2 linked regions of the Drosophila melanogaster genome follow. The protein of the gene in region 2 interacts with the protein of the main gene of each other region in a pairwise test. Each region holds a gene or a part of one and is shown on either strand. Other genes may lie near its edges. The genes, in order: Cep290 and DZIP1.

Region 1 (17,803 bases), on a different chromosome or scaffold from region 2:
CCGCTCAGTCGGTGGCCAAGGCAATCGACAAAACAGTGCAGGACTTCGATGCCAAGTTCACCTCCTCCTTGGTGGCAAAGGCCTCTAGCACACTGGCCCATTCGGAGCCCCATATGGAGACGCTGAAGAAGAGCGATTCTGCCCAGGAGGAGCAGGAACACGATACTTGCGATCAGCGGCTGGCGGGCAGTGGAGACCTGGACCTGCCATCCTTGGCGCCCTTGGAGTTGCCCTCCTTCGATTACAGCCTGTTCACCAGCTCCTCGGCTCCTTCGTTGGCCAGCTATGCCGGCATGGCTGAGAGCTTCCAGAAATAGGCCTGGTTAAGATCCATTTGTAAAACTTCAACTAATTTGAAAGATCTCGTGGTAATGCAGTGCCCGCTGAGTGGTGATTAGGATTTAATTTTAGGCACGTTCTTCATTTCAACGTTTTGTGCAGTTCCCTTTGTGAAGTGTATTTGGGAATTCTCTAAATAAATTAAATTAGGTTAATTCACAATAATAATAATAATAATAATACTTTGTGTATTACAATCTAAGTCGTTTATTTGGCCATCAGACCCTTCAGCAGATCATCCATGTCGGTTTCGGTGTCGACATTCTTGAGCAGAAGCAGCACCTGTGCCTCCATCTCGCAGAGGATATCTGGTTTCTGGTAGGTAATGATCAGCGTGTTGAACTGGTGGTGGACAGAGAGGCTCTCCTGCGCGGGCTTGACCCCACAGCGGTCCAGTTCCGGGACCGGGATGACCTTGTAGTACTTCTTGTTCGAGGTGCGCACGACTATGGCACGCTTCTCGGGATCGGCGGTTACGCTGTATGTGTCCAGGGAGTAGGGCATGTTGCGGATGCGCCACTCAATGTTCTTCTTGGTGATCCGCTTGGTCAGCAGTGGCGCGGTGTTGCTCTCCCGCAGGGTGAAATCTCCGCCGGCCAGGGAGTCCGTTTCCTCGCCAGATCCTGGTGGCTTGTTGCCCGACCAGTTTAACTGACGCGGCTCATCGCCCAGCTCGATTTCCCACTCCGACTCGCCCATGATCTTGTTGCTCTTCGATTTCCAGGCCCGCCGCTGCACGATTCCCGTGTCCATGTTGTACTCCTCGGCCATTTGCCTGCCGTCCGGGAATTTGTAGAGCACCTTGCGGGCGCGGCCACTTATCATGGAGTTCTTCTCCGCCGCCTGCAGGTAGTTTAGCCAGTTCTGGTAGGACATCTCTGGGGATTGATGGGATTACCTAGGCACACGTCTCCGCCGGAGATTCGAATATAACAACTGAACGGGGCAGAAAATTTGATCGATGGCGCAAAGTTGAAAATTTGTTGAGAAGCACATTGCGATGGAAACCTGGCAACCCAGCTGCCAGCTTGTTTACATCGCAAGCCGGGTTACCAAGGCACTTTAAAGCATTACATACAATACCTTATGATCGATTTGTCTTGTAATATTTGGAGGTAATGGTTAATTTTAATGCAAAATACGTACTAATTCTTGCCATTTTTTTTACTTACTAATAAAATGATTTTGAAATTCGAATATTTTCCATGAATTCAGCTTTTTTCTGGCTACCCAATTTACAGTTGATTCCAGCGCGCGAGTTGGCAGCCCCGTGCGTACACAAAAAAACAGAGTTGACGTGGCCGGCGCAGTGACTACATAAAATATACGCATATTTCATCACGGCAGCGATTTAATTATTGCTATTTAAAGTAAGCAGCCAGTCACTCCGGCCGTAGTTTATAAATAGCCACTAGACCGTCCGTCCCGAATCCGTAGACTTAGCAGCTAATTTGGACGCATTTCTGCTTACAGGCGGCAGTCGAAAAAAGCGAAAATCCAAGAAGCGAAAATCGAACGAAAAAGGGAATTAATAAAACATTAAAAATGAGTTTGGTGTGGACTTTGATCGCCGGATTTCTCTATGCGGAAATCGCACTGGTCCTTCTGCTGGTGCTGCCGGTGCTCACTCCTTACCGCTGGAACCGGTTCTTCAAGTCCAAATTCCTATCGATGTTGGGACAACAGGCGCACATATATTTCCTGCTGATCATGGGAATTCTGGTCATTTTCCTCCTGGAGGCCATTCGCGAGATGCGCAAGTACTCCGGCTTGCAGCAGTCTAACGAGGTCCACTTGAACGTGGAGATGCAGCACAGCATGAAGCTGTTCCGTGCCCAGCGGAACTTCTACATCTCTGGATTCGCCATTTTCCTTGCCCTGGTCATCCGGCGACTGGTAAACTTGATCTGCACCCAGGCCAATCTCATGGCCCAGAGCGAGGCTTCCTTCAAGCAGGCACAGAGCGCCACTGCAGCCGCACGTTCCTTGCTGGAGAACAAGAACACCGAGAAGGCCAAGGAAGCCGGCGAGGATACCACTCTCATCGAGGTGAGTCCACGTCCCAAACCCCTGCATCCGATCCCCAGGAATGGCATGTCTAGAGAGCTAACACCTAAGACTTTGGAGTTCAATTGGCTACTACCAGCTGTAAAGATATGGCAATGCATATAGAAGGTGTGGTCAAAATATGGCGAGATAATGTCTTTAGCCGACTAAATCTATAAAATCTATACTTCATTCCACTTTCTGGTACATTTTCTCAATTGGTTTTGAATATAAGATACGAAAAGGCTTTAAATGTAGTCTATTAACGATATAGAACTTTAAATACCAGTATATATCATGATTAAAATCTTAAACGTAAACTTAAATCAGTTTGAAGACCGAGTGAATTTGTCATAGGCTTAGTGCTTTTGTTTTGACCGCAGCTAAACGTTTTGAAACCACACCCAAACACATATGTTGGGCCACGATAAACAGAAGCCACCACTCGAAAGTTTAAACCTCTTGTTAACTCTTTAAACAGCTGTCAAGACTGCGGAGACGTGTGCAAGGACTCACCGCCCGAGTGTCCTAAGTATCCCCACCTAGAGCACCCACCTTATATCCATTCCCAAACACCCAAAACGAACAAAAATCCAATCGAAACTCAAACGAAATCCGAATTTTGCAGCTCAACAAGCTGCGCGAGCGCGTCCAGGAGCTAACCTCCGACTTGAATCGCGAAAAGAAGGACAAGGAGGCGGTTAAGTCGCAGGCGGAGAGCATCAACCGCGAGTACGACCGACTCACCGAGGAGTACAGCAAGCTGCAGAAGAAGATAACCATCGGCGGAGGCGGAAACAAGGATGATTAAACTCACTGGAGCCAAGTCCAACATTTAAATAACGATAAGACTTATAAGCATGGCGGTGGGGCAGCGAAAGCAGGCACATTTAAAAGATTATAACGATTTCAAATCGATAGAAAGCACACACATCTTATTGTTAATCCTCATAGATACAACTACATATACCATTTGATAATGATAATGGGGTATATTGATAATGGTCCCTCAACTCAATGTTCGTTTCGTCCGAAGTTTTGTATTTAATTCGTATGTGTTAAGTTTTGTTTGCCACAGTAACACACCCAAAAAGCGTCGTGGCTATTAAAAGAACAACCAAAAAGTACCCATCCAGTTGTGATCGATTCGATGATTCATCTGTTGGCGCGGATAGTCCACATCATGTCTGATAGTACACGGCAATGACGTCAGACGTCGCAACCTGTTTGCATACTTGGAGCTTAGAAATCGGAGGCGTTACATTATCGGTGTGCGAAAAGGGCATCGAATATGTTTCCTTGATAATTACCCAGAAATGCTAATCAAATTCGCATATTTAGTGATCTATCGTGGTTTTGCAGTGCATACTTTAATCTTAACTTGAACAGAGATCATCCTACATAAATTTGCTGTTCAATAAACTGCATTAAAATGCTTACTCCCACCAGAAGCTTACAGAGAAGCTAGGAGCTTCAGATCTCACATAGTGCCACCATTTGGGTGGCATGTACAAACAGTCACCAGGTTGCAGGAGCAGCTGGTAGAACTTCACCTTGGCTACCAAGGGATATGTTTCAGGATCCAGTTGAGCAGCATCTATTCGCGCTGTATTGGCCAAAAACTCACTGTCGTGGGGATACAGATTGTCTGTGTCTGCAGGAGCAGCTAGGATGATCCTCTTCGAACCGAATACCTGGCACAGCAAGTTGTGCTTGGGATCGTAGTGCATGGGAGATACGGTTCCAGCTGGTCCCAGCCAGGCTTTGATGTCCACAGCTCCTGGGGTATCTTCGTTGCTGATGGTGCAGTAGTCGGGAATGGATATATCCTCTTTGAGGGCTGGTATCTGGGCGAAGAGCTCGTGCTGAGCGAGATACTCGATATTTTGGCCAGCCTTGCTTGGTTCCTTTCCGAATTGTCTGCTCAGGAAGTCGCGGATCTTCACCAGCTGCTGGGACCATTCATCGCTGGCATAGTTGGAACCTATTTCAATGGGCACCGTGCGATTCCCGGCCACTTGGAGAAGGTAATTGAGATCCAGCCATTTGTGCAGTGCAGGCCAATGCTGGATGGTGTTGAGCAGGAGTGTGGGTTGTCCTGCCTCAAAGCACTTTGTCTGGAACTCTTCTAGACTGGGAGCGTCCAGTTGGGGTATATCACAGTTGGAGGTTACTCGGGTTAATGGCTCTAGAGTTGGAAGTGGTGCGGAATTCAGTGCTACTGCTCCATCCTTGTCGAGATAATCCATTAGGGCGACTTTCAGTTCACTCCAATCCTCCATGCAACCCAAAAGTTGAGCCTCATCGAGGATCTCACTGCACGCATCCTTCTGGGCGGGACTAGTGCTCTCCAAGAGAAGGAAAAAAATCTAAAATGTATATTTGTAGTTTGTATGGCTTAGTTAGCATCTAAATCCCACCTTGAAGCAACAGGCTATGGCGTATATCTTCCTCGTGACCAAGGGAACCTGGCTGAAGTGCCCTGTGTGAATGCGTTCCCAGTTCCTGTCCACCAGCGCACCTACCAGATATCCGGTTTCCTCCGCCCCGGAATCTCCGCCAGACCTCAAGTTCGCCAGGTGATCCGCGGCTCTTTTGAGTATGTAGCGCGCCTCGACTTCACCACGGACCACATTTTCCAGATCCACCCAGCGGGGCAGCAGCTGCGTCAGCTCCAGGAACTCACTATCCATAGAATGTTAAACAACTATTATTTGTTTACCTTTTAGCTTACATTCAGCGTTGCCAGAGTTCATTTGTAAGCATTAAATATTTCGATTAATCGATGTTTTAAAATATATTTAAAAATTGATGAGTTGTTCAGTACTTCAAACATGTATTGCTTAAGGATGCCTTTAGTAAATTATAAATAGTAGCTCCGTGGGTCCTTCCATGGTGAAGATACATTTTGCACTGGCACGAAATGGAAAAACGATTTCCATGGGCGGAGTTATGACCGCCGTTTTGGACGCCGAATGGCATTGTGTGCCCCAAGTGCCACTAATTACGGGTTTTAGACTAAGCTGCAGCTTGTAAACAACAATCATGAGACAAGAACCCGGATAGTGGAATTGCTGACGGTCAGAGCTGAGGAGCATGTCGAGGACTTCGGATGACATCCGGAAGCACCTGAAAGTGCGGCGCCAGAAGCAGAGGGCCATTTTGGCCATGAGATGGCGCTGTGCCCAGGGAGGATTGGAGTTCGAGCAGCTGGACACCTTCTACGGAGCCATCAGGCCATGTAAGACCACTTTTCCAAACCACTTTCATATGTGTCTAAACATATTACAATGGACAATAGATCTGTGTGTGGCGCAGTTCTTCGGCATTATGCCTTTGTCGAATATCCGGAGTCGCGATCCCCAGGATGTGAAGTTCAAGGTAAGGAGCATTGGCCTGGCAGTCACCGGTCTCTTCCTTTTGCTCGGTGGCATGAAGACCTTGGTCGGTGCCAATATTCTCTTCACAGAGGGTCTGAATGCCAAGAATATCGGTGAGTTTTAGATGGTATGGTAGTGTGATCCCAACTGAAAGCTCAATAGTGGGTTTGGTTTTCCTTATCGTGGGCATGGTCAACTGGCTAAACTTCGTGGGCTTTGCTCGCTCCTGGTCGCACATAATGCTGCCCTGGAGTTCGGTGGACATTCTGATGCTCTTTCCGCCCTACAAACGTGGCAAGCGAAGCCTTCGGTCAAAGGTCAACGTCCTTGCTCTGAGTGTGGTCGTCCTGGCAGTAGGTGAGATTTCTGGGTTATCCTTTCAATGGTTTCCAGAAGAACTTTCTTTCAGGCGACCACATGCTGTACTACGCCTCTGGCTACTGCAGCTATAGCATGCACATCCTGCAGTGCCACACAAACCACTCGCGTATTACCTTTGGACTTTATTTGGAGAAGGAGTTCTCCGACATCATGTTCATCATGCCATTCAATATATTTTCCATGTGCTATGGATTTGTAAGTTAACTATATATATTTTAGTTAGTTAGTTTGAATAATGCTCTCTTTTTTAGTGGCTAAATGGAGCCTTCACCTTTCTGTGGAACTTCATGGACATCTTTATTGTGATGACCAGTATTGGACTGGCGCAAAGGTTTCAACAGTTTGCCGCTCGAGTTGGCGCACTGGAGGGTCGTGTAAAATAATCCAAACTATTTCAATGTATTTCTCTTTTAAATCCCCATCCCATTTAGCATGTTCCCGAAGCCTTGTGGTACGACATTCGGAGGGATCACATTCGCCTTTGCGAGCTGGCCAGTTTGGTGGAGGCCAGCATGTCGAATATAGTGTTCGTATCCTGCGCTAACAATGTGTATGTGATCTGCAACCAGGCGTTGGCTATTTTCACGTGAGTCATCTGTTTGTAGCTACCCCCTAGTCTCATTTCAAATCTTTTTAGCAAACTGCGGCATCCCATAAACTACGTTTACTTCTGGTACTCGCTGATCTTCCTGCTGGCCAGGACGAGTCTGGTTTTCATGACTGCCTCCAAGATCCACGATGCCTCGCTTCTGCCCCTGAGGTCCTTGTACTTGGTGCCCAGCGATGGCTGGACGCAGGAGGTGCAGAGATTTGCCGACCAGCTGACCAGCGAGTTTGTCGGATTGTCTGGATATCGTCTCTTCTGCTTGACAAGAAAGAGTCTCTTCGGAGTGGGTAAACTTCACGAGTCTTCACGATTCCCATACTGATCCCAGCCATCCTCTCCAGATGCTAGCCACCCTGGTGACCTACGAACTTATGCTGCTGCAAATAGATGCTAAGAGCCACAAGGGACTGCGGTGCGCGTAACTAAATGAGTGAACTTTAGTCCAGTTTAACTTAACTGAATGTATAATAAAATAGTCAGATAATCAGATTTGAAAAAGGGTAGATTCCTGCGAGGAAAAGTCAGTTAGCAGCTCATGTGTGAGTTCAGCCAACCCGACTCGGGCGGTTATTAAATGGCCAAAAGGCTTCCAGGATAATTGGCCATTCCGAGTGTCATTTCAATTTCAATTTTTGGCCAGCTGTCATTCAGCGAGGGCGAATCCACAAATGGGAGGGCAACCAAAGTCGCTTGCCATTAGTTTCAATTATTGCTACACATGTAGGCAAACGTAATTTTGAAGGCAACTCGATGAGTTTTGAAAGGAGAAAGGAGTTGGAGTGCACTGAAAAATATGTTCGGAAGCTAAAGTTCTAAATAATAATAATCTTATCTTTACTGCTTACTTCTAAACCCTTTCAAAAGCCACTTGGTGTGCTCTGAACTAAATACCATTTTTTTTTCGAGTGTAAGAAAAGTTAACAGAAACACGAGAAGGCGGCGGAAAAGTCGCTTCGAACAGAAATGGCTTTTCAATTTCAAAACTCGGCCTTTGACACTTTGCCAATTAACACTTTCCTGGTTACCGATTGCCATTTTTGTTTGTGGTGGGCCACCGGCTGCTCCCACCGCCGATCCTTGCCGCTATAGCCGCCGTTGAGGCAATTATCCTGTCAGGAAACTTTCTACGCAGCCGAAGCAGCTAGCAAAACAGAACGCCAGCAAAAACAAAGGTCCTGCAGGTTGGTCACTTGAAAGGAGCGCGCCGGCACCCTCGTTTCCGGAAAAGCAACCCCCGAATGGGTTTTCAGTCGTAGTTTGTTTTGGGCCAAGTGTCATGGCAACCGGAAAAACTGGAGAGCTGGTGTGGAAAATCGGGGAATATTTGGACGCAGAACGTGAGTAACCGCCGAGGAGCGAGGCCATGAGCCACCAGGATGAGCATGGACATACCAGAGACCGTATCCCTGCGCAAGTTCCGCGACTTTTCGGCGCGCCAGAAGCAGGAGCTCTACGAAACGCTCCTCGAACTGGCCGAGTCCATCGATGAGCTGCCTAAGAAGTCGCTGAGGAAAACCCTGGAACTCACCCTGGCCGTTTTGGAGTACAAGGGCGAGCAGGTACAGCAGCTGCAGGAATCAGCAGCCGGAGGACTCTCCTCCGACCGCCGCCTGCAGGATGAGAATGAGAAGCTGAAGCGAATGCTCCAGAAGTTGGAGGACGAACGCGATGGCCTGAAGAGCAAAGCCAAGGAGGTGAGCAGTAGATCATGTAAAGTACCCAAGCTCAAGGATACGCTTTTTTCTCACTAGTTGGGGGAGGAAATCCGTCAGTTGGAGCTGCGCCTGCAGGAGGCGGCGCAGCAGGCGGAAATCAGCGACAAGGATTCATCGGATCCCCTGTCCGAGCTGGACAAGCAGGAGCAGCTGCTGCAGAACATCGACTCCAAGAACAAGCACATCAAGCGGCTGCTAAAGGAAATCGAGGTGAGTCATATTATGTTTTGCATTCAGAATATACTATATTCATTCCCTTTCAGACACTGCAAAACCAAAACATAGCTCAATCGAAGACCATAGTGCTCCACGAGCGGGAGCTGCAGACCATCAAGGCGAATCTCGTGCAATTGAGCCAGGACATCACCAAGGTGGAGCAGGAGCGCAAGTCCTTGAAACAAAAGGAGCAGCAGCAGGCGCTGGAAATCACTCGCCTGGAAGGAAATCTAACTTTCCTGGAGGTGGAGCGCGAGAAGCAGGAGGTGGAAATGCGTCAGTTCCTGGACAAATACGAGGCCAAGTCGCTGGGCTGGAGGCAGGCGCTCGACGATCGGGACAAGGAGGTGGAGCGTCTCAAGAAACAACTGGAGGGCAAAAGCATCAGCTCTGGCCAAACCAATTCTTCCAACAGTCAGAGTCAGCAGGAGGAGGAGCACGCCAAACTACGACAGGTAAGGATGAACTGCCGATATATTTTATCTAGATCTTGAGCTCGCTAAATGTTCATCCCTCGTAGCTTTTGGAATCCCGGGAACAACGCATCGAGAAGCTGGAGGAGAAGATCAAGTCAATGGCGGAGGAGATGGTTAGCTCCACGCGTGCGATGAACCAGTTGTGTCAGGAGAAGGAGCGAGCCCACGATCCCGAGCAGCCGCGAGCCTGCTGCCAGATGATCGAGGAGCGCCTGCGGGAAGCCACCGCCCGGTGTCAGCAGCTCTCGGAGATGCTGGAGGCCGCCGAGCAGGACAACGTGCTCAAGTCCCAGCAGGCCCTGCACGCCATTAGTGCCCTGGAGGCCTACAAGCGTGACGAAGATGGCCTCATTCCCGCTCTGCGACGCTGCTCGGGATTGGAACAGAAGGTGGCAGCACGCGACAAGCAGCTGAGGGCCTACATCCAGGAGCTGAACTCCCTGCACGAGGTGGTCCAGGAGAACGAGCTGCTGCGGCGAAAACTTCACATCCCCGACGATGTGGTCATCATGGCCAAGAACGTCCATTCCAAGCAGCGCAACAAGGACAAGCAGATCGAGCGACTGACCCTCAAGCTGAGGACATCCGAGGAGCTGCGTCTGCAATTGAAGTTGGAAAAGAGTGAACTTAGGCGGAAGCTCTTGGAGTTGCAGCAGGACAGTCCGCAGACCTTGAACGAATCGCTGCAGGCGCCCAGCGAAGTGGGTGAAGTGCCTCATAGTGTGCATCTGGAGAATTCGCCGAGACGTGGCCAAGGCGACGGGGCAGCCAGTTCCGAGATGCAGAATCGATACGACGAAGTCCTGGCCGAAAATGAAACACTACGCTCCGGCATGTACGAGATTCTGGAGAAGCTGCGGGAATATGATGGTGAGATAACCATAACATATTTCTTGAATAACTATATGTATTAAACATTATCCATGTAGCCACCTCAGAGCACATAACCATCGATTCCGATCTCTTGCGCCGCCTCATCGAAGCTCTGCCCGGCGGAACGACCACTCCGCAGCGACTCCAGGGTCAGCTCCTAGAGCTGAAGGCCCGAGAGGAGGCACTGCGTCAGCTGCTCGAGCAGCAGAACTACAGTGACTCCGAGACGGGAGAACTGTCCTCTGTGCATAGTCTGTGCGAGGTTCCCGAGATTGCAGAAGAGCATCCTGTCGAGGAGGATGCTGTGCTGAACACAGCCACCAGGCCAAGCTCGCCCACTGAAGCCACGATGGGATTACGCAGACCCACTGTACCAGATCCCGAGGAGAAACCCACGAACGAGGCCCTGGCTGAGCTCTCCATTCTGCGCAAGCACTACGACGAACTTCGTCTTCATATGTCCGCCGATGGCAGTGATCTGATGAATCGCAACCAAGAGCTCCACGATCAAATGATCGCTTTGGAGTTGCAGTTGGAGCAGCAAAGGAATTCCTACTCCTACATGCGCAGGGATTACGATCAACTGCTGACGGAGACCAGAAAGCAGGAACTTCGCTTCATAGATGATAAGGCGTCTCTAGCCAGGCAGTTGGAGCATAGCAAGAGTGAACTATGTGAAGCTAGAGAGGAGTTGGAGCAAGTGAATCGAAGGAATCTCTACACTGCGGAGGAGCAGCAAAAGTTGGAGCACAGGAATGCCATCTTGAGCATGCAACTTGGCCAGGCGATGGAGCAACTGCTGGGCGAGCTGAAGCCCACGGAAATATGCGCTGAGTACGGTATAATCAGGGAGAACTATCAGCTGGATTACATCACAGCCCAGGACTTCGAGGAGCAGCAACAGGAGCTGCTCACTTGGAGGAGCAAGCAGGCGGAGCTGCAGAGGGAGACCAAGCAGCTGGAAGGACTGCTCCATGTGGCCAATGAGCAGGTTGGAGATTCTCCTTGATACCTACCCATGGGAGATCTAATGCCCATCCTCTTTCCAGATTCACTCCCAGCAAAGGCTGCTCAATGAGATCACCGATAACCACATCAATCTGCGTCACCTGGTGGCCGATCTTCAGAGCAGCTCCGACGAGAAGCTAATGCTGGCCAAGGTCCAGAGGGATCTGGATAGTGGTAAGCACAGACTTATTCGAGGAGAAGATCAGTAGCCAGCATGTCTCTCTTTTTTTTTTTAGTGAAAGCCGAGTGCTCCCGCTTGGAAACAGAGCGAGAAAAACTGCAGCTAAAGGCGGACTGCCTGCAAACCCAACTGGAGGCCAGCGAGTTATCCCTGAAACAGACGCAACAGGACTTCCAGCAGGAGCGCACCAATAGCGATATTAAGCACAAGTGAGACCAAGTGGTGGATAATCCCTAGCAGATCTGACTTTCTACCAAATCCCACAGATTCCTCCAGCATTCATTGTTTATGCTCAAAGATAAATATGCCAAATTCACGCCACTGGTCTTCCTTACCAACTTTGTGTTCGCCTACCAAAAGTTCCAGCGTCGCCTGGAGGAGGAGCAAGTGCAGCAGCGACATAGAGATCACACCGCTCTGATTGATGAAGTGACCGCCGTGGTCCAGGCCAAAATTGGTCTCAACGAGGAGAGTTCCCAGCAGTTGGTGAAGCTCATAAAGTCTGAAACACAGACGAGACTCTTGGAACAGCGCTGCGAGATTCTGCAGGCCAAACAGGAGGAGCTCGTTCGGGAATTGGGTGAGTTGAGGATGAGCCAGGCCACCGACACCGAGCACTGGAGCACCATCCAGGCCTTGTTCGGTGAAGGAGAGCCAAGAAGTCAACTCAAGGTGGATGCAGAGACGAATACCGATGCAGTGGCTCCTAATCTGGCCATGAGAAGGGCCGTCCAGTTGATAGACAGGGAGTCATCGCCCATTGGGTCGCCTCTCCGAAAACATCCGCACCTGGATACAGCCACTCAAACGCTGGAGGCGCAAGTTGAGTTCTCGGAGACGGCAGTCCAAACCAATGGCATTCTCAGCCAGCAGAATCAAGCCGTTCAGACAGCGGATGCAGTGGAGGACAATAGGAGAGATTCCCGCGCGGAGCTACAAAAAATGCAAGAAACGTAAGTTCCCCCAAGTAAAAAATGTAAATAACTATTTGCAACTATAAATGGTGATGCCCAACAGTCTGCAGGAAGCCAACCAGCGCATCGAGATCCTTGGCAAGCAGTTGGAGGCTTCCAGATCGGAGAGTCGCGAGTCCGCCAGTCCGCAAGGTGGTGTGGTGGAGAAGACCATACTCTCGTTCCACACCCTGCTCCTGGAGAAGGACCAGTCCATACAAAAGTACCAGGACCTTCTGCAAACCGAGAGGGATCAGAGTCAGCAAGCACTTAGCAAACAGGTGGCTGAAAACGAATCCCTGAGGGCCACGGTTAACAACCTGAACTTCAACATCAAGACGAAGGATGCAGAGATTCAGGGCCTTAAGGAGAAGCTGAGACAGAAACCCGAGGTCCCCGTGGAGCGCAACCCGTCGACGGATTCGAGGTCCAGTTCCAGTTCCGATAGCTCGGTCAACGAGCTGACGGATGAGAAGATCGAGGAGCTCTTCGAAAGCAGCTCAGTGGAGAGACCACCCCAAGAAGAGTTGGAAGTGCCAGTGGAAGCAGGTCCAGAGAACATAGTTACCGAAGAGCCCGAAGGTGAGGAGGAGAAGCAGGACACCGAGGAGCTGAAGGAAGTGCCGACGCTGCACAAGCAAATCAAGGATCTCAAGGACAAGCTGGAGTACAGCGAAAGGAGCCTCAAGACGAGGGAAGAGGAAGTGGATATACTAAAGGAGAAGTAAGTTGTAAAGTAAGTAGTTGTGCATGATCTTAATCCGTTACATTCGACAGGTTGAAGCTGTGCCAGGAGCGGGAGAAGTCGGTCGAAAGCACCGTGAATCCCGAACTGGATCAGCTACGCATCTTTCTGGATGAGAAGGACAAGCACATCAAGGATCTGATGGATACACTCAAGAACTTCCACGTAATGCCCAGCAATACCATCATATTCATCTCTACTATTAAAAGTTTTAAACATGCAGGACGACCAGCAGCGCTACATCAAAGACACCTCGAACTTCTCGGAGGACCAGATAGCCAAGCTGGCTGCCGATCTCAACCGCACCGAGGCCACCAACAAGATCTATCACACCCAAATGGAGGCACTTCGCCGCCAGCTGGCCAACGTCACCCAGCGCGAAAAGCAGGCCAGGGATCTCAGCCAGTCGCTGCGCCAGCAGCTACTCAAACGCCCTGTGGTCTCCATTAAAACGGAACTGAATGCCCGGGTTAAGAACGAGAACCAGCTGAAGAGAATCCAGCAGCTGGAATTGGACTTGGACGAGGCACGTGGCCAGCTGCAGCGACAGCAGACGCTCCTGGAGGCCAAGCGCACGAGGAGTGCCAATGAGGTGCAGCTCTGGGAGAAGCAGAAGCGGTACCAACAGCAGGCGGAGAAGACCAAGGCCCGGCTGGAGGAGACCGAGCTGGCGCTGGAGAAGACCCGTGCCCTTCTCCAGGCAGCGCGCACCACAATAGCGCGCTTGGAAAAGGACAAGCAAATCCTGGAGTCCAAGCTGGGCAGGAACGGTCCGCCGAGCAACAGCTCCGGTGGCAATAACCTCAAGTGCTGCCGCACTCCATCCTGTCCGAATCTCCAGCACGTGGGTGTCAGCAAGTTCGCTCCATCGCCTTCGGAGAGTCCGGAGACCTACACGGGTCCCAGCAGCGAGTGCAGCTCTCCGGCGCATCATCACACCCAGATCTTTGACCAGAGTCAGTTGGACCTTATTGAGGCGCTCAAGTCGCGCATTGAGCTGCAGCAGCGCAAGATCATCGCCATGGAACTGGAGGGCAGGGGCAGCAATGCCCTGACCACGGAGCTGGAAAAATTGCAAGAGCGCTGCCAGGCCATCGAGGCGCAGAACATCCGACTGGAGGCCAGGAACCTTCAGCTGCAGCTCGACTCGGATCTCTTGAGGCAGGGCGACAGCAGCGATCGGCTGCAGAAGCGAATCAAGCACTTGGAGGAGTGAGTAGAGAGCGGCAGTTTCCACGCGTGTGAATCGAGACTTATGCACCACCCCCATTTTTCAGCTACATCATGGCCCTGAAGGAGGAGATGGCTCGCAACGAATCCCGTCGAGAGTTGGGCAGTGGCCTCAAGGTGAGCACAAATCAGGGCCAATCGGCGGAGCAGACGATCCTCTCGCTGCGCAATCTCGTGGAGAAGTTGCGATCGGAGAACAAGTTCCTGAAGGATGGTCGACGATCCACGGAGTCGCGCAGCTCCATGGACTCCACGCCTGCAGAGGCGGCACGTCTGCAGCAGCAGCATGCAGAGGCGCTGGAGAAAATCAGTGCTCTGCAGCAGGAGTTGCAGAAGCGAACCACCAAGTGCAGCCAATGCGGGGGACGCAGCAAGGTAGGTACCGCTCGTAATAATACACCTTCGGCAATAATTGTGTTTGAAATTTAAAAAAAAAAGGACGCTGCCAACGAGGAGCTCAAGTTCATCAAGGAGCAGTTGGTGAAAAAGACGCAGCTGCTGCAGAAGGCAAAAGTACTTCTGACCCGTGCTGCCGCCAAGGAAAAAGTCCTGAGGGAACAGCTGGCCTTGTGGAAACGCAAGTGCTCCGAACTGCAAAATGTGCCCGTGATCGATGAAATCAGCGAGTAACCAGTATTGATCATAAGATGAATGTTGTACAGGAAAAAAGAGGAATAAAACTAAAGTTTTTTTCACTGCTGCTGTTTTGAATTTGGCGCCCAATGCAGAGTTGCCAGATCGAGGTGGGCTAAAATCGTTGGGGATGTGAAAGTTACGGGATTCCCCCGAATTTTGTTTTACAGGATATTTAAATTTATTTAATAGGATATTTAAACCATGAAATAATGTATCTTTTGCCAGATTAAGAAAACACTAAGCCATTTGCCAGTCACAGTGAACAGTTCACCAACTATCGCTTATCAACTGTATGGCTTGGAATACCCCTGATGCCCACTAATCGGATGAATTAAACAACAATAGCTACCGGCAATCACAGTAAAATGATCCACTGATTGGACTTTGTCGCTCATTCCGCGCACAGCACTGGCAGCAAGATGACCTACCAAGGATACAAGGAACTGCTTGTGGAGCAGCAGGGCAAGCTGCTCGTGGCCAAGTTCAACAATCCGAAGAAGAAGAACTGCATCAACAGGGTCGCCTACCAGGAGATGACCCGTGTGTTGACCGAGGTCAACGACGATGAGGGCGTAACCATTGTGGTTTTCACCGGCGTGGGTGACATCTTTACGTCCGGCAACGACTTGTCCCAATCCTCCAATACCGATGACATCGACGCCTTCTTCAAGCAGTCCAATGCGACTTTCAAGGTGGCACATCTGTATATCCCATTTCATTTTTTTATAATTTATCCAATCCCTACTTGAAGGCCATGGTTCTGAGCTTCGTCAACTGCAGAAAGATTGTGCTTGCCCTGGTGAACGGACCTGCCATTGGGATTGGAGCCACCATTGTGGGATTGTGCGATGTGGCTTGGTGCTCCGAAACGGTGGGTATTGCCTCAAATTTGCTATGGCAGCATGACTTGACTGATAAATACCATCGCAGACCTACTTCTACACGCCATTCACCAAACTGGGATTGGTGCCAGAGGGCGGTTCCTCCTATATGCTGCCCCTCATCTTGGGGCGCTCAAAGGCGTCGGAAATCCTGCTGCTAAGCGAACCGCTGAGCGCCCAGGAGGCATATCAGTTCAACTTTGTTTCGAGGATCTTCAAGGCCAGCGAATTGGAGTCGGTGATTTGGCCCAAATTGCGTCAGTATTCCGAGCTGCCGACGAACTCCCTTCTGCAGGGGAAACGCCTCGTCAAGGATGGCTTCCTGGAGAATCTCATCAAGGCCAACGAGGCGGAGTGCAAGCAGCTGCTCCAACAGTTCCAGCATCCCGAGTTTGCCCAGGCCATCATAGACTTTGCCAGCCGTAAAAACAAGGCGAAATTATAAATACGGCTTAAGTTTATTACCGTCTCAGTGATTTTGTCCGCCTATTTTAAAACCCAAGAGATATGAATGCTAATTCTTGTGGCACAAACATCAAAGCAAATAGACTTCTTAGCGATTAGATTAGGGACATAATGTGTGCCTTTTGCACCATAACCATAGGTTAATCTCTTGCACTATCTGTGTATGTACATATGTACCAATATATTGCCAAAGTGCTGATTAAAAACAATTGAAGAACGCCACCTACCTGTTTGTGAATGAATCGCACAGCTGTGGTCAAGATAATAGAATGTGTAATATATGAATAAATATATAAATATATTTTAAATTCCATCGATGTTCCCGCCCTTCTGCGAAATTCAAATTGGATTCATGTATAGTTCACTTTATTATTGCGTACATACGAGTATTCGTTTATTAACATATCCTTTGATGCTTCTGCCGCGAGTGTGTATGTATATAATATGTATATGACCGTATTGCACTTTATACTAGTTCAACATTGAGTGAGTAGTTCCCCCAGGAGCTCTGAGATCCTTGCCGCACAAGCCGTGATTATGAACTGGTGGTGACTTAGATTACACTACGCTTTACATTCCTGTATCAACTAGATCTATATAGATCTAGATCTAGGCCAGACCATGAACTCTGACTGTGAGACACTCTGCTAGGGAAATTCGTTGGCCTCTCTCCGGATTTCAAATACACTCGAGCTTAGTCCTTAATCCTAGCTTAATCCTACGCGTGCCTGCTCATGTACAAATTGATGATAGACGTAGAAACATATCTATAATAGCCAGTTAAACTTAGGCTGCGTTTTAAGTTATTTCCAATAACTGCCCCTCCAAATTCAAAAACTTTACAATTAATCAACAAAAAGAGCTACGGGAGAACGATGTTCTCTCAATTTACCTAGTCCTAGTTAAGCTACCTTAGCTAAACTCCCCCCTTAGACTATTTAGCACAAGGAGTGCCATTGCATGCAGCATCACCATATTCCACCACGTGCTGTGCCATCCAACCGCACCACCATGATGCAGTTCGGCGAAGCTTTCGCCTGGAAGAGATTGCTGATATGATATGGGTTCCTACTCTAGATGAATACTCTACACCAACTCACCGTTCAGAATGTGAACCACTATGGTGAAGTTCTGGAACTCACTGATGGAGCATGTGTAGTTGCCGGAATCCGTTTTACTGATCTTCGCTATCGAGAGCGTCGAGTTGGCTCCATCCTCCATCAGTTCGGTTTTGACGCTGCGAGGATACGTAATAAATGAACCTTACTGATGGTGACCCCGACCAAGCTAAATTCACTCACCTCACTCCCCCGCGAGTAACGTCGTAGTTAAGGATGTTGTCCATGTGCTTCCAGAAGACCACGGAACTGGTCATGGCCACGTTTCGCACCACACAGGAGAGCTGTAGCGTGGAATCGATCTCGTAGTACTTCTCCTGCAGCGGATCACCCACCTCGTCCACTATCATCACTTTCGGAGCTGTGTTAAAGCATACTAAATCCCTTTCTTGCTACCCATCAGAGAGTTGGATATTCACCATTAACGTGCAGGTTGATTTGAATGACGCGTGGCGGATGCGTTGAGATCTGGCACTCGTAGATAGCCTCGTCGTCCTTCTTCACATTGGTTATCTTCAGTCGCCAGTTGTTTGGGTACTGGAACTCCATCTTG
Region 2 (5,287 bases):
AGTTCGCTTATCCGCCGATTGCAGCAACTGCTATTTCCCGTAACCCGTGTATTTTCGGTATACGTTCGTTATGTATGTTATTTCATCGATGGGCACGGGCTGCGTGTGCCTGTGTGTGTGTGCGCCGTGTCCGTGTGCGGATGGAAACTCGGTGCTGGGCTAATCTCGCCCTTTGGTCAGCTGGATGCACGGATTCGCGGATTCACTGCCTCGGTTGCTCACCCCTCTGAGGTTGGCTGACTTCAATCGTTCCGATCCTTAGCCAGCTGCCCTTTTATTGCATTTAATGCACGTTTTACTCGCGACGTACTAAAAAATTTTCATCTACGTTGGTTAGTGACGTCGATTGTTTACAGCGCGAGTCGATTGCCTATCGATTGCCTATCCATTGCACGGCGCGCAGCTATCGGTAAAAGGTAGTGTGACCGGAATATGCAAATTCATTTAAAAAACAATATTTTTTAGTTAAGTACGGTACATTGAACAGGTGATAGGTACTCATAAAGGAATATAATTATCTTATGATATATTGGCTATTAAACGTATCGTTGACATTTATACCCAAAGTATTATAATATCATCTTTATTGACTCATTTTAGGTTATCATCGCTGTCATTGAAGCTCTTCCCGTCCTCCGTGGTGTTGAACATCACCCGCTTCCTGGGCAGCGGAACTGGCCTCGAACTCAGGGACGACTTGGAAGCTCCTCGAATAGTGGCCGCCGGCTTGACCAGGATCTCCTCCAGACGAGCCTTGAAATCGCGACTAACTAGTCTTTGAGGACTGGGGCTTCGAGTTTGCTGTTCGCTGCTATCCGTTTGCTCATCCGTCTGCTCTTCGCCTTGAGAGCTGGCTATATCCTCTTCAGACTTTTCAGAGATCGCAGACCTCGGGATCCCTTTGCCTGGAACCTCCATTGGCTTGAGTGGACTCTTGTGCTTCAGCAACATTTCCGCGCGTTCCGAGAACTTGGCGGAGCACAGTTTTTCGACAAACTTGCGGATGCGATTTCGAGTGGCGTAAAAATGTGGATGTTGCTAAAGGGTATTCCAGAATTGTCAAAAGTTCATTAGTTTTTGGCAGTTATAGGCTTACCAGTTTCAGTTTGTTGCGGTGCTCTGTCAGCTCGGAGTTCACTCTCTTCAAAGAGTTATGCGAAATACCTTTGGACTTCATATCGAAGCCGTGAGACATCAACTTCCGGTTGACCATCTTCCGGGCATCCTTGCGAGTAAGTGGTTTTTGAGGGCTCCTTAAAACATGTGGATTATTATTACTCTAAGAAAGCTTAACATCGAAACACTCACTTGATGATTCTTCCAGAAGGCTTGATTGTTTTTGGCGTTGGATCCTCTCGTGCTGCTTCCGACCCGGAGGTGGGAACATCGGTCCCCTCCTCCTCTGTCAGGCTGCGCTCCTCTTCGTTCTCCGTCTCTTCTTGGCTGAGACTATCGCTTACGTCCGTGGCTTCTTTCGTTTCCTGCTTATTAGGAGCAGGTTCCCTTGGAGATTTCGTATAAGTCGGATTGCTGTCCGAACTTCCAGCACTTGGCTGCTCCTTTTCCACCACTTGAACTTGGGTCACCAGCTGTGGGAATGGTTTCTCCGAACCTTTTCGTGGCGCCTCCTCAATGGAATAGGTGTCATCGTCATGTTTCTGTTTGAGGAACTCGCTCTCCACCTGCTTGCGAATCCGATCAATGTTGGTTTCCTCCTTGCGAACCACCGGCTTGGGTATTTTCGAGGCAACTGGCACAGTCTGCACAGGCTCTGGCTGCACCTTTTGAACACTCAGCTGCTTGAGCTCTCGCTCCAGTGCCCCTAGCTTCTCCTTGTAGCCCTCCTCAAGGTGATAGACCACCTCTTCCAGCCTGTGTGCGCTGACCTTTCCAATCTCTGCCACCTTCTCAGTGAGTATGCGCTCCAGATCCTCCAGACACGGCGTGGCCACCCGATCTTCCAGCGGAGGCGTGCTGGCGGATGCCTGTTTACTCTGCTCGAGTGCGTGGCTCAGGCCCTCCAGCCTCTTGTTAATGTCCTGAAAGGATATAAATTGTAATGGTACTTCCACAGGAGTAAGGATTACTTGATTCTACCTGTATAAACTGTTCGTTGCTCTGCTTGAGCTGCGTTTGCCACTCCTCAAAGTTGCTCAGTCGCTCCGCCAATCCTGTGAGTTGCTCCTTCCGTTCGCTGGCCTCGCTTTGCCTGGCCTCTCCGCTGTCCTCGTCCTTCTCCTTTGGCTCCGCCAGATTGCTCTGTATGCCCACGTGGCGCTGCTCCTGGCGCGGACTTACCCGCTTCGATCCCGTGCTCCGCTCCTTAATATTCCGCTCGGCGGCATTCAGGCGCTCCTTTAGCTGCTTGATCTCCAGCTCCATTTTGATGGTGTTTATCAGGTGCACATCGGTGGCCTTATCCCGATCCTTCTCCTTCCCGGTGGCGGATGTCAGACTTGGCGGTGAGGCCACACGATGCTTCCGACCAATGTGCACATTCAAGGCCTCGTTGCTGATGAAGTTCTTAGTGCACAGATGACAGGGGTATACCACCTCGCGAATGGCCTCGATCTGGGTGATTCTCTTGTGCAGCTGCACCACTTCGTTGTTTGACTCACTCAGGGACTTTCGCAGCGTAGCTATCTCCTCCTGGGCCGTCGTATGCGCTTCCTTTAGATCTGTGACACATTCGTCCAGGTAAGTGCGACAGCACATCAAATACTGTATGGCATACTGAGACATCACAAAGTACTTGGCAATGCCACTGTCCAGAATGTGAGTTTCCAGCACTGTGCCCAGTGGAGCCTCAGAAAGGTGGGTCAACGCCTTGTCCACCAGCTCGAAGTTTTGCTCCCTGAGAATCCGCTCTGTTTCATAGGATCCTGCCGGAAATACCGCTATGAACTAAGTGTTAACTACTTTTAACATAATTTTCCATACCCATAAGTCTCCAATCCAGTGGACCATCGCGATACTGTCTCAGTTTAAAGCCCGTTTCACGGACCATCTGCGGATATTTGCCCTTGAATCCCATTTCTCTGAATCTGAATCACCCAGGACTGCAAAAAAAATCGAAAGTTTGTTTACTTCTTCCTCGCCTTCTTTGTTTTGCTTCCGTTCTTTGCCAAACTTTATCTGCCACTTTTCTTACCACCCTTGTGTGTTTCTTAGTTTTTGGTTACACGTTGCCAAAGCAACTACAACTAGGTTGTCAGGACGACAGGTTGAAAGTAGGGTTGTTGAGCCTCTGAAAATGCATATTACAAGCATGATATCGTAAAAAATGCTCATTCCTATTATTAGGTTTTAAAACTAACTGCCATTAAGAGATTACAGTTTTTAATATTGTTAGTATTGATTAGAATTACTTTTGTTATTGTTCATTCTGTTATGTTATTTTATTATCTTTTAACACAAATAATTCAAAAGAACCGCGAAAGACACGATAAATGGCAGGATCCTTTTAGATAAAACATTTAGGAGCTATCGAGCATCTCCGTTGAAGCATCTGTCAAAAGGCTCAACTCAGTTGCGATTGGACTCTCCAACCGTGAGGTTGTATTAAACGGAAACTCCTAGCAAAATGTGTTAAGTTTAGTTAAAAACCTTCAATTATAAGCAATAAGTAGCACAAAAAGCTAGAGAAAACAGCAACAAAATGTGGCATTGGAGTTTGTTGTGTGTTTTCCTACTTGTTCCGTTGGCGAATTCCACGGGTAAGCTGCGAAAACTTGTGCGTCAGTCCGAGAAAAATCCTGTGAAAATTCCGATACCCTGATGCTGTATCCCAAGTATTTGACAGATGTCAGGAAGCTGCGCCCACAAGAGAGCAAGAGAGCGGCGTCTGCGCAGCAATTTGTTTTGGGAAATTTTCCATTTGTTTGGGAATTTAATTTGGCATTTTTCTCTGTTTTTCCCCTGAATTACCACCACTTTCCTAGCTCCAATAAGTTTTGAGGCAAATCCGGACACCAAACGTCTCTATGATGATTTGTTGAGCAACTACAATCGATTGATTAGGCCCGTTGTGAACAACACGGAGACCCTGACGGTTTGGTTAGGTCTGAAATTGTCTCAGCTGATTGAGGTCAATCTGAAGAATCAGGTGATGACCACCAATCTGTGGGTGAAGCAGGTAGTTATCACTGCCATATACTGTTATTATCTATTATTAATGGATTTTATTAAAGCGCTGGTTCGACTACAAGTTGCGATGGGATCCAGAGGAATACGGCGGAGTTGAACAGCTGTATGTGCCATCTGAGCACATTTGGGTACCGGACATTGTGTTGTACAACAACTGGGATGGCAACTATGAAGTTAGCTTCGATGTTCTCAATAATGTGTTCATAGTTAACTGAAATATATATTATTAGGTAACTCTGATGACGAAAGCCACTCTGAAGTATACGGGAGAAGTCTTTTGGGAGCCACCTGCTATATACAAGTCATCCTGTGAGATGAATGTCGAATACTTTCCGTACGACGAACAAATTTGCTTCATGAAATTCGGTTCATGGACCTACAATGGTGCCCAAGTGGATCTGAAGCATTTGGATCAGGTTAGGTATCTAAATAATTTAACTTCTACAATAAATAACCCAATCTTTTTTCAGATTCCTGGCAGTAACCTAGTGCAAGTTGGCATCGATCTCACGGAATTTTATTTGTCTGTGGAATGGGACATACTTGAAGTGCCGGCTACCAAAAATGAGGAGTATTACCCCGATACACTGGAACCCTTTTCAGGTACGATGTTATTTGTTTTGCATCATTGCATTTCAGTTGAGTATCTTCTCTTTTTAGATATCACATTTAAGTTGACCATGCGGCGTAAGACCTTGTTCTATACCGTTAATTTGATTGTGCCATGTGTGGCTTTAACATTCCTCACGGTGTTGGTCTTTTATTTGCCCAGCGATTCGGGCGAAAAGGTAACAAAGATGGATCCTCCAAATTCAATGATCAAAAATCTGAGAGTGATACCTTCTTTTTTGTGGCACGTAGCATGTTTTTGTTAATTTTAACACGTAGAATTAGATTTCCTATAGCTTAGAAAACTGAAAAATAGCTTTTGTACATATGCTTTCTTTATTTTTATTAAATTTATATTTTTAAAATAATTTTGTGAAGTAATTTCAAATGCAAATTCACTTAAGTGTACTCCCTATAACTTAAAACACTCAAAAACATTGACTCTACAATGAACCTATACCTTAGATGAGCTATCTTTTTCATATGCACAAATCGAACTCCTTTCAATTACTTTAACTATCACTCCCCAATC

The links.
Region 1: the proteins of DZIP1 (region 2) and Cep290 interact in binary tests that used the Drosophila melanogaster proteins (3 or more experiments, as listed by UniProt).

Annotation. Positions count from the first base shown.
Region 1 is NT_037436.4:836,237-854,039, forward strand, and holds Cep290 (centrosomal protein 290kDa), read left to right. Parts: upstream 1-7,689; 5' UTR 7,690-8,129; coding exon 8,130-8,447; intron 8,448-8,504; coding exon 8,505-8,678; intron 8,679-8,731; coding exon 8,732-9,139; intron 9,140-9,204; coding exon 9,205-10,030; intron 10,031-10,089; coding exon 10,090-11,024; intron 11,025-11,082; coding exon 11,083-11,215; intron 11,216-11,277; coding exon 11,278-11,431; intron 11,432-11,488; coding exon 11,489-12,175; intron 12,176-12,239; coding exon 12,240-12,899; intron 12,900-12,952; coding exon 12,953-13,085; intron 13,086-13,143; coding exon 13,144-14,132; intron 14,133-14,197; coding exon 14,198-14,525; intron 14,526-14,588; coding exon 14,589-14,780; 3' UTR 14,781-14,844; downstream 14,845-17,803. Other genes in the region: CG42554 (uncharacterized protein), read left to right, coding at 1-317; CG13901 (uncharacterized protein), read right to left, coding at 547-1,215; CG13887 (uncharacterized protein), read left to right, coding at 1,885-2,388, 3,014-3,196; JMJD5 (jumonji domain containing 5), read right to left, coding at 3,822-4,754, 4,806-5,078; Gr61a (gustatory receptor 61a), read left to right, coding at 5,482-5,626, 5,687-5,878, 5,928-6,122, 6,175-6,341, 6,398-6,520, 6,578-6,732, 6,784-7,036, 7,095-7,175; Dci (Dodecenoyl-CoA delta-isomerase), read left to right, coding at 15,206-15,478, 15,538-15,657, 15,717-16,112; dpr20 (defective proboscis extension response 20), read right to left, coding at 17,045-17,169, 17,233-17,369, 17,434-17,611, 17,670-17,803. UniProt on the Drosophila melanogaster protein: Essential for ciliogenesis in sensory neurons and spermatocytes.
Region 2 is NT_033777.3:24,513,342-24,518,628, reverse strand, and holds DZIP1 (DZIP1), read right to left. Parts: upstream 3,352-5,287; 5' UTR 3,035-3,351; coding exon 2,941-3,034; intron 2,883-2,940; coding exon 2,098-2,882; intron 2,040-2,097; coding exon 1,309-2,039; intron 1,254-1,308; coding exon 1,097-1,253; intron 1,039-1,096; coding exon 592-1,038; 3' UTR 501-591; downstream 1-500. Other genes in the region: nAChRbeta2 (nicotinic acetylcholine receptor beta2), read left to right, coding at 3,659-3,716, 3,942-4,135, 4,191-4,319, 4,377-4,562, 4,617-4,749, 4,807-4,934. UniProt on the Drosophila melanogaster protein: Component of the DZIP1-Fam92-Cby complex which promotes ciliogenesis in sensory neurons and spermatocytes by acting downstream of Cep290 to initiate early ciliary membrane formation and thus transition zone (TZ) assembly.